3 linked regions of the Drosophila melanogaster genome follow. The protein of the gene in region 3 purifies or fractionates together with the protein of the main gene of each other region. This does not show direct contact. Each region holds a gene or a part of one and is shown on either strand. Other genes may lie near its edges.

The links.
Region 1: the proteins of Ulp1 (region 3) and krz purify together in Drosophila melanogaster (affinity purification with western blotting; 2 studies listed by BioGRID, with this or other methods). This does not show direct contact.
Region 2: the proteins of Ulp1 (region 3) and Kr-h1 purify together in Drosophila melanogaster (affinity purification with western blotting, with the first as the bait; one study listed by BioGRID). This does not show direct contact.

What each region holds. Positions count from the first base shown.
Region 1 is NT_033777.3:32,049,771-32,054,049, reverse strand, and holds the start of krz (kurtz), read left to right. Parts: upstream 1-2,056; 5' UTR 2,057-2,210; coding exon 2,211-2,781; intron 2,782-4,180; coding exon 4,181-4,279. Other genes in the region: mod (modulo), read right to left, coding at 1-427, 495-804, 1,073-1,315.
Region 2 is NT_033779.5:6,089,028-6,093,306, forward strand, and holds the start of Kr-h1 (kruppel homolog 1), read left to right. Parts: upstream 1-2,384; 5' UTR 2,385-2,541; coding exon of another isoform or gene 2,542-2,793; 5' UTR 2,794-3,072; coding exon 3,073-3,217; intron 3,218-3,967; coding exon 3,968-4,279. Other genes in the region: CG45075 (uncharacterized protein), read left to right, coding at 2,542-2,793. UniProt on the Drosophila melanogaster protein: Plays a general role in the hierarchies of gene expression leading to metamorphosis.
Region 3 is NC_004354.4:19,206,243-19,210,521, reverse strand, and holds the start of Ulp1 (Ulp1), read left to right. Parts: upstream 1-2,334; 5' UTR 2,335-2,488; intron 2,489-2,729; 5' UTR 2,730-2,762; coding exon 2,763-4,279. Other genes in the region: CG14195 (uncharacterized protein), read left to right, coding at 182-903, 976-1,324, 1,394-1,701.

The sequences.
Region 1 (4,279 bases), on a different chromosome or scaffold from region 3:
CGAACCGTTATAAAGCGAGAAAACAGCTCAGTGCTATGCAGTTTAAGAGCCTTCGGTATGTCATCGACCGACGCCAAACGTACAAAAGCTCTGGGCATGAGGCGGTTACTGGATATAGTCACCGCCTCCACGGGAGCTACCTTCTCAAAAAAGGTTTTTAAGTCGTCCTTGGTAATATTAGGTCCAATCAGGCCAACCACCACCGTGCGTTCGTTGTTCTCTTCCTTATTTCTCGGTTGGGACACAGACAAAACATTGTCTCCAAGGGTTAACGCTTTAGGCTTAGCCTGCAGAACAGCTTCTGCTCCAGTTGACGTATCAAAGGCAATGAGAACTGATTTATTGCCATTCAAATTAGTGAAACGCTGCAAAGCGGAAAGTCGTCCGAACTTGGCGAACAATGCGACCAAGTCCTTGTGGAGATACTCTATGTGGAACAAATATACTAAGTTTAAATATACTTGAAAAATGAAATAATAAACCAGTTACTTTACCGTTTGGTAGGTTTGTGACAAAAACGATCTGGTTTTTTGGCGTTCCCAGCGGAATCTTGCCAACCTTTACTTTTGGAATTCCTCTATTTTCTTCGGACTTTTCAGAGTTGGCTTTTTCTGATTTCTTGGAAACTGGCTTCTCTACAGGCGCTTCTTCATCATCATCGGATTCATCTACCTCATCCGCGCCTTCACTTTTGGAAACCTCACCAGGCTCCAACTCATCGTCATCATCATCTTCCTCATCGTCACTATTGTACTCTTCATCTTCCTCAGCCTCGTCGTCAATTAAGCCCGCTGCCTCTTCGGTCTGAAAAGTAGACAATTTTCTTATAACCGCTGATGGGAGAGCACCAATAAAGACAATTTTTTTTTTATCGATATATGAACCGAGTCGGTATAAAACCAGAGGATCGTGGGTTATGTGCACTCGTCTTATAATTATAAAATCTTTACAACCACGTGGCAAAGAAAACGTAAAATGGATTCTTATCCATGCAGATCTATATATACGTGCATACTATGCATGTAATGTTAGCCATATCCATTCAGAAGACCACGTTTTTTTTATAGCTTACCTCAAAGTCGCTGTCGTCCCCTGGCTGCTCGTCATTTTGCTCCTCCACATCAGACTCGTCCTCTTCACTGAACTGCGGCACTTCTTTAACAGGCTGTTTTCTGGATTTTTTGGAAGGCGATTGGGGGACTACTGTCTCCTCTTCCTGTACCTTTGTGGACTTGGTTACCCGTTTGGCCAAAGGCTTTTCCTCTCCATTCGTAGCTTTTTTTCCTTTGACGGTGACGGCTTTCTTTTGGGCCATTTTGACAGCTTTTAGAGGTTTTCTGGGCAAAATTAGCAAAGTCAAGTTTGGACTGAACAACGCGTGGTTTCGTTCAATAAAATGCACGTGGAAAAGAGGGACAGAACAGTGTGACCGTTGTGCTCTATCGGTGCTAAGGCTGATTAAATAAAGTATTTTAGAGACTTCAATCTCATTTTTATAGCTCTATTCCACTACTAAATATGGTTTAAAGTCCGTTCATGCACATGTATACATATAAAAATAATAAAAGCCTTTAAAAAATAAAATAAATATTAAACAGTTTATATAAAGTATTTATTTAAGACTTAGGATACAATCTATGATTAGATATTTACCAACGGTCTGATTTTACATGTGTTTATACATTCCAAATGGTAAGTTTCCTCAATCATCAGCTATGAATCATCTGTTTCTAAAGGAATTTATAATATATATATTATATTTCATTAAAAAGCCAAGTCAACCTGCAGTTGCATTTTATCTTAGTAGGAAACTTAATGTTAATTCAAGCAATTGTTAATGGTATTGAAAGAAAAATTATTAAAAGTCACTTACTATGGGCCAGGGCACACTTAGGAAATATAAATAGGTGCCAAAAATGCAAAATAAATATTAATTATAGGCTGCGATTATGGTACGACCAAACATATATCGGTTTGTTCGCACTGAATTGAAATACCAGAGAAGTACATAATTTGTTAGTATGTAATATTCCCTGGTATTTTTCCAATGACTGTCAAGCAGTGCTGGTAAATGGCGGAACAAGTATACACATAAAAAATTAAATTGCAGCACAAGTCCCGCAACGCACACATATATTTATTTAACGGAGTTCCAATTAAGCAGGAACAGCAGAAAAGCAGAATAACAAGCATAACCGCCAAATAACATAATGAACGGTGGTGGTGGAGGAAGTGGAGGAGCAAATGTGAGCAATGGCTCCAGCACCAATGTAACAGCTGCCGGGAGCACTGGGGGCGGAAGCGCAGGCGACGAGACTGGTGGAGATGCCAGCTCCAGACGCCAGGCGACTCGGGTGTTTAAGAAGAGCTCCTCCAACGGCAAGATAACAGTTTACCTTGGCAAACGGGACTTCGTCGACCATGTCACGCACGTGGATCCCATTGACGGTGTTGTCTTCATTGATCCAGAGTACGTAAAGGACCGTAAGGTTTTTGGCCAGGTGCTTGCCGCCTTTCGGTACGGACGTGAAGACCTAGATGTTTTGGGATTAACGTTCCGTAAGGACCTGTATCTGGCGCATGAGCAGATCTATCCGCCCATGCAGCTGGACCGCCCGATGACCCGGCTTCAGGAAAGGTTAATTAAAAAGCTGGGGCCGAACGCCCATCCGTTTTATTTTGAGGTTCCGCCCTATTGCCCAGCCTCTGTGTCCTTGCAGCCGGCTCCTGGAGATGTGGGCAAGTCTTGCGGAGTAGACTACGAGCTGAAGGCCTTTGTGGGTGAGTCTTTGTGGGTCTGATCTTGTGGGTGTGTCCGTATACGGTGGTCAGTCAAAGTCAAAATCATTGATATTTCGCAGTGTGGCACATACCGTGTTTATTATATATGTTGCAATACATTAAATTTACAAATTTACAAATTTTTCTTTTTTCTTTACAAATTTTTCTTTTACCTTAGAGCAGTTAAATTGCGGGTACTATTGTTTCTGAGAATAAAATAATTTATTAAGAATATGGTTACAGTAGCAAAACTAGCTTTGTTCTTTTCTATAGAAGTTAGACTGTAAATTTCTTATATGTGTGGTTTTGTGTAAGTTAGCGCGTGCATCACGCGGTTGGGAACACAGGGTTAATCAATCCAACTACGTCGGGCTGATGACGCAGCGTTCACCTAATTGAAATTCGACACTTCTAATTGGAATTTGAATCAACCGAAGTTGCAGCGCAGTTAATGCTGTTGTTCGCCTTAACCAGGCGCCGCAGTTGGCGGTCTGACGATTTGTGTGCCAACAGCAAAGATCTTACATAGTTTCAAAATGTTTATTTGTTTAGTTTCTAATCTGTATTTAATAATTAAAAAAAGGTTTAAAGAATTTGTGCTTTATTTTATTAGTAGAAAGGTTTTTGGTTTCTGTAAATTTTAAATTTTTCATATTTTCGTACGATCGCCGAGCTCCACTCGCATATATATTATGTGCCCGTGGCACCCCCTTAATACATTCTCTGTTCAATAAATATTATTACCTATTGCCCTATTTTGTTTACACATTTTTGTGCTTTTATAGTTTCTGTTGGAATTTTATTATTATTCAGCAGCCAAATTGTTTACTGTTATAAACAGAGATTAATAAAATAGCAGCAATTGGCGTGTTGTTGGGTAAAAGAGTTTATAACAAGAACTTAATATTTATTTTTTCTGTATATAAGCCCAAATTCAATTTAAGAATAAAAACAACAATGTTGGAATTTGTACAGTTGGAAGAAACGATTTCTCAGTGCTTCTCTGCTTCCCCTCATGACAATTGAGTCAGCATTTTTATTTACTTTGCGTCTGTTCAATTGTGTATCTAATGTTCCTAGCTTTTATGTTTTTGGGATAACCAATTATATATATTTATGCGTATTTTTAAAGCAATGCTATTGATGATCAATTAAATGAATGTATATGCATATATATGAATAATATATATATATATATATATATATATATATATCCATATGTAAATGCCAGTAATTGTCGGCTTGTGATTAAACATCGTGGAATTCTATACATGATAGACTCAACATCAACGACAAATTTTGTAACGAATCGGACTACTGACACACCCGAGCGTCATGGGTTTTCTTCAACAAACATACATACATTGATGCCATTATTCATAATGTTTATCACTAATAGGTGAGAACGTGGAGGACAAACCCCACAAGCGGAACTCGGTGCGACTAACTATTCGCAAAGTCATGTACGCACCATCCAAAGTCGGTGAGCAGCCATCGA
Region 2 (4,279 bases), on a different chromosome or scaffold from region 3:
CACATATGAATGTATTCGTATTGTAGAATATAATTCTGGTATTCAATTTCGCCAACTAGCGCAAGCTGACTTGGGAATATTACGCCACATTTTCCAGCTTAGCGATTATGAAGCTCCCCCCGACACCATTCTTTGTACATCAACCCTTGCGACTATAGTATGCGTTCTCGCTCATCGTAACTGTAATACTCGCTGCCTGCCTGAGTGCGTGTCTTTGCTTTTTGACCTAGGCCAACCCAACCACTTCGCCCACGCAATTTGTGCGTGGCAGCGGCGACGCACACTGCGGCAGAGGCGTCGACAGAGCGGCGGCAGAGCAGCAGCTGCGCAGCCTAAGCTCAGACTTCGTGTCTAGACCTTCGCTATATAAATACAACACCAAAGTAGAATGCTAAAATTTCTAAATCTGGCATATTTCGTTCAGTCGTTCGTACAGCTCTCGTTCTCTCATGTTTCATATGCAAAGATTCTATAGTAAACTGACTTTGTTTTCAAAAATATATAACAAGTACACGTTTTCAAAAAAGAATATCTATATATTTTAAAACATTTAGTATGTTCATAATTTGAGCCTTAATAGTCGAAGGTTAATAATTGTGCTTTAGACTGGAATTTTCAATCCTTCCGGCCATATTCCCCACCATGGAATTTCCAGTCACTCCAATTTCATTCGCTTAATTTCAATATCTTATCGCTGTTGATAGTTCTCGTTTGATAAGTCTGCCTAGAGCCCTAACTTTAGCGTACAATTTCATTGAGGGACATCCTATGAATTGAAAAACGGCGAACGTGTCGTGTTATATTGCCTTATCTTATCGGGGCTCATCGAACCTTAGCTAGAATATGTATGTGAAATGTTAACGCGATCCTCCGGTTGGAATAGATACTCTCGACGGGAGCAGAAGTAATTTTATAAAAAAATCCGATTCGAGGGGGGAAGCGAAGTGAAAAGCTTACAATTTGCTTATATTTAAGTGTTCAATGACCCCATCAAAAGTCCACAAAGAAGACACCAAAAAGCAACACCGAATCCAAACCAACTCAATTTATGTATCTGTATCTCTGCGTATGTATCTCCACGTGTAAAATAGCTATGCATGTGTAAATAGGGTGTATTTTTGGAAGTGAACCGAAGTGAATTTAATTATAATTTTAATATAAATACTTCTTTTAGTTTAGTTTAGTTTCGTTTGAGCGTTTCACGTTCAATCTGGTATCTGTTTGTATCTAGCTTTCATACTGACCGCCAAGCAACTTTACTGATCTATCCAAACACGGCGATCACTTCCATTAAAGACCAGTTTTAAGTCGCTTTATTTCAGAGCTATCCCAACAAAATAACGGCACTTTAACTTTTCCGAACCGCAGCTGAATCCCCTCCCCTCGTTTTTCCCATTCTAGCTGCCCCCCGTTTTGGGAAGCAACTCATAAGAGATAATTGTGTCTTTCCCCCTCAAAAAATATTGTGTCGTTCATACCTTCAGAAACTTTTTGGTCGGGCAACCCAAAAGAGCACGAGCGCACGAATCGGGGGATCGGGGGATCGGTGATCATTCTCTGCCCTCCAACAACACCGCACTCACTCAAAAATAGTTTTTGTGTCGAATGTTAATGAACTTTTGCGCTAGTTTAACGCACAGCCAGCCGAATAAACATTCAGACACAATAACAACGAAAGCCGATAAAGTTTTTTGAACCTGCCTTCACCGAAACTTTTGTATTTCAACATTTGCTTCTCGTGCTCATTCTGTTTTTTGGGAGGGTTTCTTATAAATGTTCGCTTGTTGAAGGTGGAAACTGGTCGTTGGCTTTCTATAGATGGACTGCTCAAAATATATCCCTGAGATTTTGTAGCCTCTAAACGTATAGTTGCCGCAATTGTTAGTTAATTGGTATGCTAAGTGTGGCAAGCAAGTTGGACTTTGGTACTTTAAAGAATAATAACTATAAGACTGCGATAAGAACTATCAGAACTTATTGCCTAATTCGTTGCATTTATGACTCAAATGCTAGAATCTTATCAATGAAAACCCAACTAATTACATCACTTAAATGAAATCACTTCAGAGTTCAAAGTTTATTCAATGCTTGTATATGTACATATTTTCAATTAGTCTGAAATAATAAACGTCGCAGATAACTTAGATACCAATGAAATTTCCCTGAGCTCGGGGAAATTTTGGTGCTCCATAAAAGAGAATGTCATCGGAAAAGTCCGAAACCACTCAAACTCAAAAAAAAAAGAAACACTCGAAAATTTCCCTTGTCATCGCACTCAAACATTTTCCAATTGAGGGAAATTTCAGATCCAATGGGACCATTCTTGTTGGTGGTGGTTGATTTTTCCGTGACAGGGTTTGAGGCAGATTTTTCGGGAACTCACCCACCAGTCTCCGTTACACCATCGAACCGAAAACCTCGGGAGCGGCGATGTGAACATAATCTGAATCCCATTCTACTCCGTTAAGTGTTGTTTGTACGGGTGTTGTGCGTGTGCGTGTGCTTGTGTGTGTGTGTGTGTGTGTGGTCCACACCTCGAAAATGACCGACTTTTCAATGAACGATATTTTGAGATCATTCAGAAAAATGCGTATGAACAAGGGCTCGGGCCAGGGCGGTCAGCACCACCAATACCGCAATCATCAGCACCAACAGCAGCCTCCGCAAAATATGCAACACTACCAACACACCTATCCCGTGCAACAGTCGAAGGACTTGAAGAAAATCATCAAAATCATCAAGAAGAACCTGATCAAGGAGAAAATCACGCGTCAAATGAAAATCCTTGTCTAAAAATGTCATGAGACGAGCTAAATGAATGAATAAATCTTAAGACTGCTGATATACAAATCGAGGGACTGATACTGAAAAACTGACACGAGTTCAGCGCTAAAGTCTGATTTTGTAAACTCAAATCAATGAATAAATTTACAAGTATACACATTGAATAAGAAAAGATCTCTTCAAACTTATAAACTATATTATAAATTAGACTTGCTTACAATTGAATGATTTGACTTGAACAATCAAAAAGTATTATTAGGAGGAAAACCTGTATGGAGCAGTAGCAAGATGACTGAAAGCAAGAATGATACAAAATCTTGGGCACCCAAACAAATTTGGATTAAGGATGTTCTCAAGAAATCGGGCACGGAACTGCTCGATATATCCAAGAGTCCCGCAAAGGCTGTTGCCGTCAAAAAATCGCCGGCGAAAGGTAATTGAGATGCTTTTCCTAAAAATTCAGACCGAAAAAGTTCCCTCACGACGCCATTTTGTTTTGGTATACGCAATTTTTGTTTTGGGGGAAGTTGTGGGGTTCGTTCATACTATCATAACAAAAAAAAAAAAAAATACAACAGCGCGACTGATACAGAAAGTGCGAGCGAGCAGGATGGCAACGGGAAATGCCGGTTGGAAACCGTACGATTCGTAATGCTATCTCCCAAATATCCCAAGTGGGACATTTTCGAGGCAGGGTTCTCAATGAAATTTTTCCCATTTCCTCTGGCTCTCACTCTCCTGCGCCTTCGCTTTTCCTCCCCCCATAAGCTCTCGCTAGGTTTTCCTTATTTTGGAAAACCCCGGCCGGCAATAACAGAAAGTGCGTAGCACAAATTCACGGGGTGGGTTTTCCCCTTTACGCCCTTTTTTCCTTTGGCTCTTACGAGACTTTTCCTAACCACCCGTATTGCACTTTCTATCTGCTTCCGTGTTTTTCCTGAGACGCAGATTGTGAATTGATGGGGGGCAAAGGAGTTAGACCTTATACTATGGTTAAGCTGGCTTTGTAGAACCACAAAAACCAAACAATAGGTTGCTAATATAACTAATAAGCAGTATCTAATTTATAATTTCTTGTATTATTACTTAAGTCTATTTAGAACCAACTATTTTGGTCAGGTATCAAACTAGTTAACTATGGTCAAAAATCTAATGCGGCTCCTTCTTTTTCGCCCTCTTCCAGATTCAGCCACAACCAAAATGGTTTACTATTCCGCCAACCAGCTGCTTATAAAAACGGAACAATCTAGTCAGGCGCAGTTCTGCCTCCAGGTTCCGCCTCCACTAACAGCGACGACCACGAGCGTGGGCCTAGGAGTTCCGCCATCCGGCGGCCAACAGGAGCACTTCGAGCTGCTGCAGACGCCGCAGCAGCGACAAATGCAACTGCAGCTACAGGACCAGCACCAGCAGGAGCAGCAGCAGTTTGTCAGCTACCAACTGGCCATCCAGCAGCATCAGAAGCAGCAACAACAGCAGCAACATGAAAGTATTA
Region 3 (4,279 bases):
TGTATTCAAATATAAATGGAATTCAATAATTTCATAGTTCTATGCCGCAAGGAGTTCGATTAAAGAATCAATGATGTTAAACTGTGCCCAAACTAAAGTTAAACTTAAGTTCGACAGAATTTTTTATTTTCAAAGCGGAAAAGCGACAAATTTAACACAACATTCTATCGCCTTGTCCAAGGTATCGGCTCCAGCTTGTACCTGTGGAAGACGCACGTCATTCTGGAGGCAGTGCGTCCGCGGGAGGACAAGTACGTCCGCAAGACGATCCACCTGTGCGGCGAGGCCTTCTGCCAGCTGTTCCTCTCGTTCGTGTTCACCAGCCTGCGCACCTTGTACGGCACCGCCCAGTCCATCGTACTGATGTCCGCCCTGCTGGTGAACCTCATCCCGCTGAGCCTGATCATTACCAAGCATCGCGAGGATGCCTTCACCACGAAGCGGATATCGGTGATCAAGGCGGAAACGGGATTCGCTGCACTGCCGCTGCGAGCCGCACTGGCGGCCAACTTGGTGGCGGACCAGCTGGACGGATTGGACACGCTCTCATGGCGGAATCCGGCCACCACCGAAATGGCCACGCCCAGTGGTGCCGTCGCCGCCGCTGTGGTGGTGGACACGCACAGCAACTACATGCTGGCCACCGATGAGGCGTATGTGACGTATGTGAATCCCAACGGGGTGGAGATTATGGAGATCATACCCGAGGAGGACGAGACGGTGTCCATGATGCGGTCGAGCAATGCGACCATCGACAATTATGCCATGTCCGCCTCGCAGATGTCGCACAAGTCCCTGTCCAATGGACGTCTCTATCCACTGACGCCCCAGCATCCTTTGGGCACAGGAACGGGAACTGGTACAGGTAGCTCCTCACCCCTACCTCCCGATTATGCCAACCTGGTGAGTAGTGCGCAGGCTTTGTGGAATATGGTGACCGGATGTGAAACCTTTCCGTATGCTCCTCATTTTCAGCGCCGCATCCGGCGGATGTCGCGTGCGGTAACCACGCACCTGTGGTGGAATCTGCTGGACAAGATCGCCATGCCGCTGCAGCAGGCGCTGCTGGTGCCGCAGCTGTACGCCACCACGCTGCTCCTCTCGGCGGACATCTTTAGCTACGTGATGTGCCTGACGGTGCTACCCGGACTGGCGGTCAGCCACCATGCGCTGAAGAACGCCGAGATCCCGTTCCTCTTCTCGCTGCTGGCCTTCCCATGGATGTGCTTCTCCCTGATGACTCCGCGCTTCGGCACGAGCCTCTATAAGCGGAAGCTCCAGTGGCACACGCTGGGCAGCATCTGCAAGTGCCTGGCGCTGATCTGTGAGTCATGATACCCGTTTCAAGCTTTCCCCGGGCCATCAATAGATCCATCTTTTGTTTCGCTTCCAGTCATCAGCTTCTCCACCTCCAAGCTGCTGCTCAGTGTGTCCGCCGTGCTGCTGGGATTTGGCCAGGTGGTGACCGCCTTTCTGCAGGAGCTGGTCTTCCAGATGGGCATGACGCGGGCCAACTGGACGGCCATCCGCCGTCCGGTGCACTTCACCAACGGCCTGCTGGTTCTCCTCTGGGGCGCGCTGGCCCACTGGGTGGTGGAGCGGTACTCCTTCCAGGCCACCGTGGGACTGGCCGGCGCCCTTTACGGAACTACCACGCTGCTCTGGAACTTCCTCTTCTTCTGCTGCCAGAGCAAGGATTGAGGGACTGAAGAATTCGCGCACTCTCACACAACAAGGCATCGTGTATGTGTGTGTGTGTGTGTGCTGCTGTGGCTGACGTTGTTGTTGTATTTGTGCAGTGATATTAATAAATAAATATATAAACTATAAGCAAGCTACATACATTTTAACATAAGTCTTAAAAGTCTTATTACGTCAATTTGAAAAAAGAATGGAATGCTGGCCTTTAAAATATCCCTAAAGAACTGCTACAGAAGTAGCTATAGCCTTTTAGCTATTTTTCCATTAAGCTGTGCTGACTACTGTACTTTGGAAATGTGGACAGTTTTTTTCCGATTAAAATAAGTTTAAAAGTATAAAATGTTGCGTTCATTCTAGAGATTGGTTCAATTTTTTAGAAATCTGTCGCACACTAAAAAAAATGCATGTTCTTACAAAATTCGCTGTGTAAGAAATATTGAAAATATTGAAATATTATTGGAAAATATTGACGAAAAATTTCCCTTTTCACCGAATTTGTCGTATTTTTACAGTAAGACTAAATGCCGTTATTTCCTCAGATATTTCTAGGTAATTACATTCGCTGCGTGACGAAAGCTGCCTGCTATGATGCGGCAGCCAGACCCAACACTGTTGGCCGATATCGATTGGTTTGGTATTATAGAGCAATATCTTGTACGGTCATACTAAGGCACCAGTACGCCAAAACCGAAATTTTCTTTCTTTACTCAATTTTCATCGAGCTAAGTTGCGAAAATTTTCTCAAGTCACAGTGAAAAGTGTACATTGTTTAAAACCTGGCCAAGGGGTAAGTGTTTGTTGCAAGGCGCTTGTGGTGTGGCACTCAGTGCGGTGCAATAGCAGCGTCGGCATTTTCCGGCGGCCGCAGAAGTGGCACCAAGCAAAGACGGCGAAAAACAGCGAAAAATGCGCAAAATCGGGCTTCCTTTTTGCCGGCTCGTTTTCCTTTTTTGCTTATTCTTCTTCTTGCGATTCTTGAAAGCGAATGCGTGTGGAAAAATAATTTCTGATTAAATTTCAATTTGCAGCTAAAAGTAGCGAAAGCGGTAGCGAACACACGCATGTCGCTGCCTCCCGAGGACACCGATTTGTCCACAAATTCCGCATACGAATCCGCACTCCAAATCGCGAGCAATGTGTCGGCAGCACGAGTAGTCGGTTCGGCAGTAGGACAGCGATTTTCGCCGTCGCCAGCAGCTCACCCGAACGTGATTGAGCGCGTCGCGTCTCATGTGGACTCACGCCGCAGCACGTTTCCAAGTTGGGGTAATCCGTCAGTAGCGCCAAGAGGATCGGAAGAAGCAGCAGCCAACGCCACAGCAACACAACTCCTATGGGCGGAGAACCAAGGTCTCCCGACATCGCACTTATTGCCAACTGAACAGGCATTCGAGACATTGAACACTAATGCGTATTGTTCCCCGCCAGGGGATTCACGATTTACGTTCCCTAGCCAGAACTACTCGCCGCTGCTGCCGCGGTGTGTCCCAGTTCCGAATCAGCGTTACTCTCCAGATGGATCGCCAATACATCAACTCCATGAGCTGCAAAATTGTCCATTGATAGATTCGCCGATAAGACTGCGATTTCCATCCCCCTTGCCAGAACCACCATCACTACCGACCATCACCCTTACAGTTGATGCCCTGATCGATCTTGACCAAAACAACCAGGTCGCATATTATGTCCAGCAGTACAACAATCAGCCAGTCCTATATCAACAAAACATTCATATAGGAACGGGAATCCAACTATGCGATCAGGCCTCCGAGAATAATCAACCGATTATATTACATATCGTGGAGCACAATCCCCAGACTATAACTGAGAGCCAGGAGCAATTCCACCAGGTTGTCCCCGAAATTCAAATCAATAATATCCAGGAGCAAGATCAGAAATTTGAAAATGGCATCTCGGAACAAAATCATCCGATTGCAACTGAGGCTCAGGATCAGACTTTAACTGAGATCCGGGATGAAAACCAGATTGTCCTTGCAGTCCAAGAAAAAAATCTCACGCGTGCCTCTGAGATTCAGGACCAGAACCAACAGACATTAACCGAGATCCCAGAGAAATGTCTTCAGATTGCATCTCCTGTCACTACTGATATACAGGTACAAAGTCCTCAGGTTGTAATAGAGATCCAGGAGCAAAATCACCAGTCTGTAACGGAGATCCAGGAGGAAGTTCACCAGACTGCCCCCGAAATCCAAGTGAACGTTTTCCAGACCTCGTCTGATATTCAAGGGCAAAATCACCAGATTGTAACTGAAGAGCAAAATCATCAGACTATAACCGAGACCCAGGAGGATTACTCGGCTGTCTCCGAAATCCAATGGGAAAATCTCTCGTTTTCTGCTGAGATTCAGGAGCAAAACCAGCAGATCGTAACCGAAGTTACGAAGCTTGCATCTCCTTCTGTTACTGATATACAGGCACAAAGTCCTCAGTCCGTAATCGAGATCCAGGATGACGATGATGAAGATCTAAAGTTCGAATCTGATGATCTGCACACTATACCTGAAATCCAGGAGAAAAACCAACAAAGTCCTCAGTTCGTAATCGAGATCCATTATGA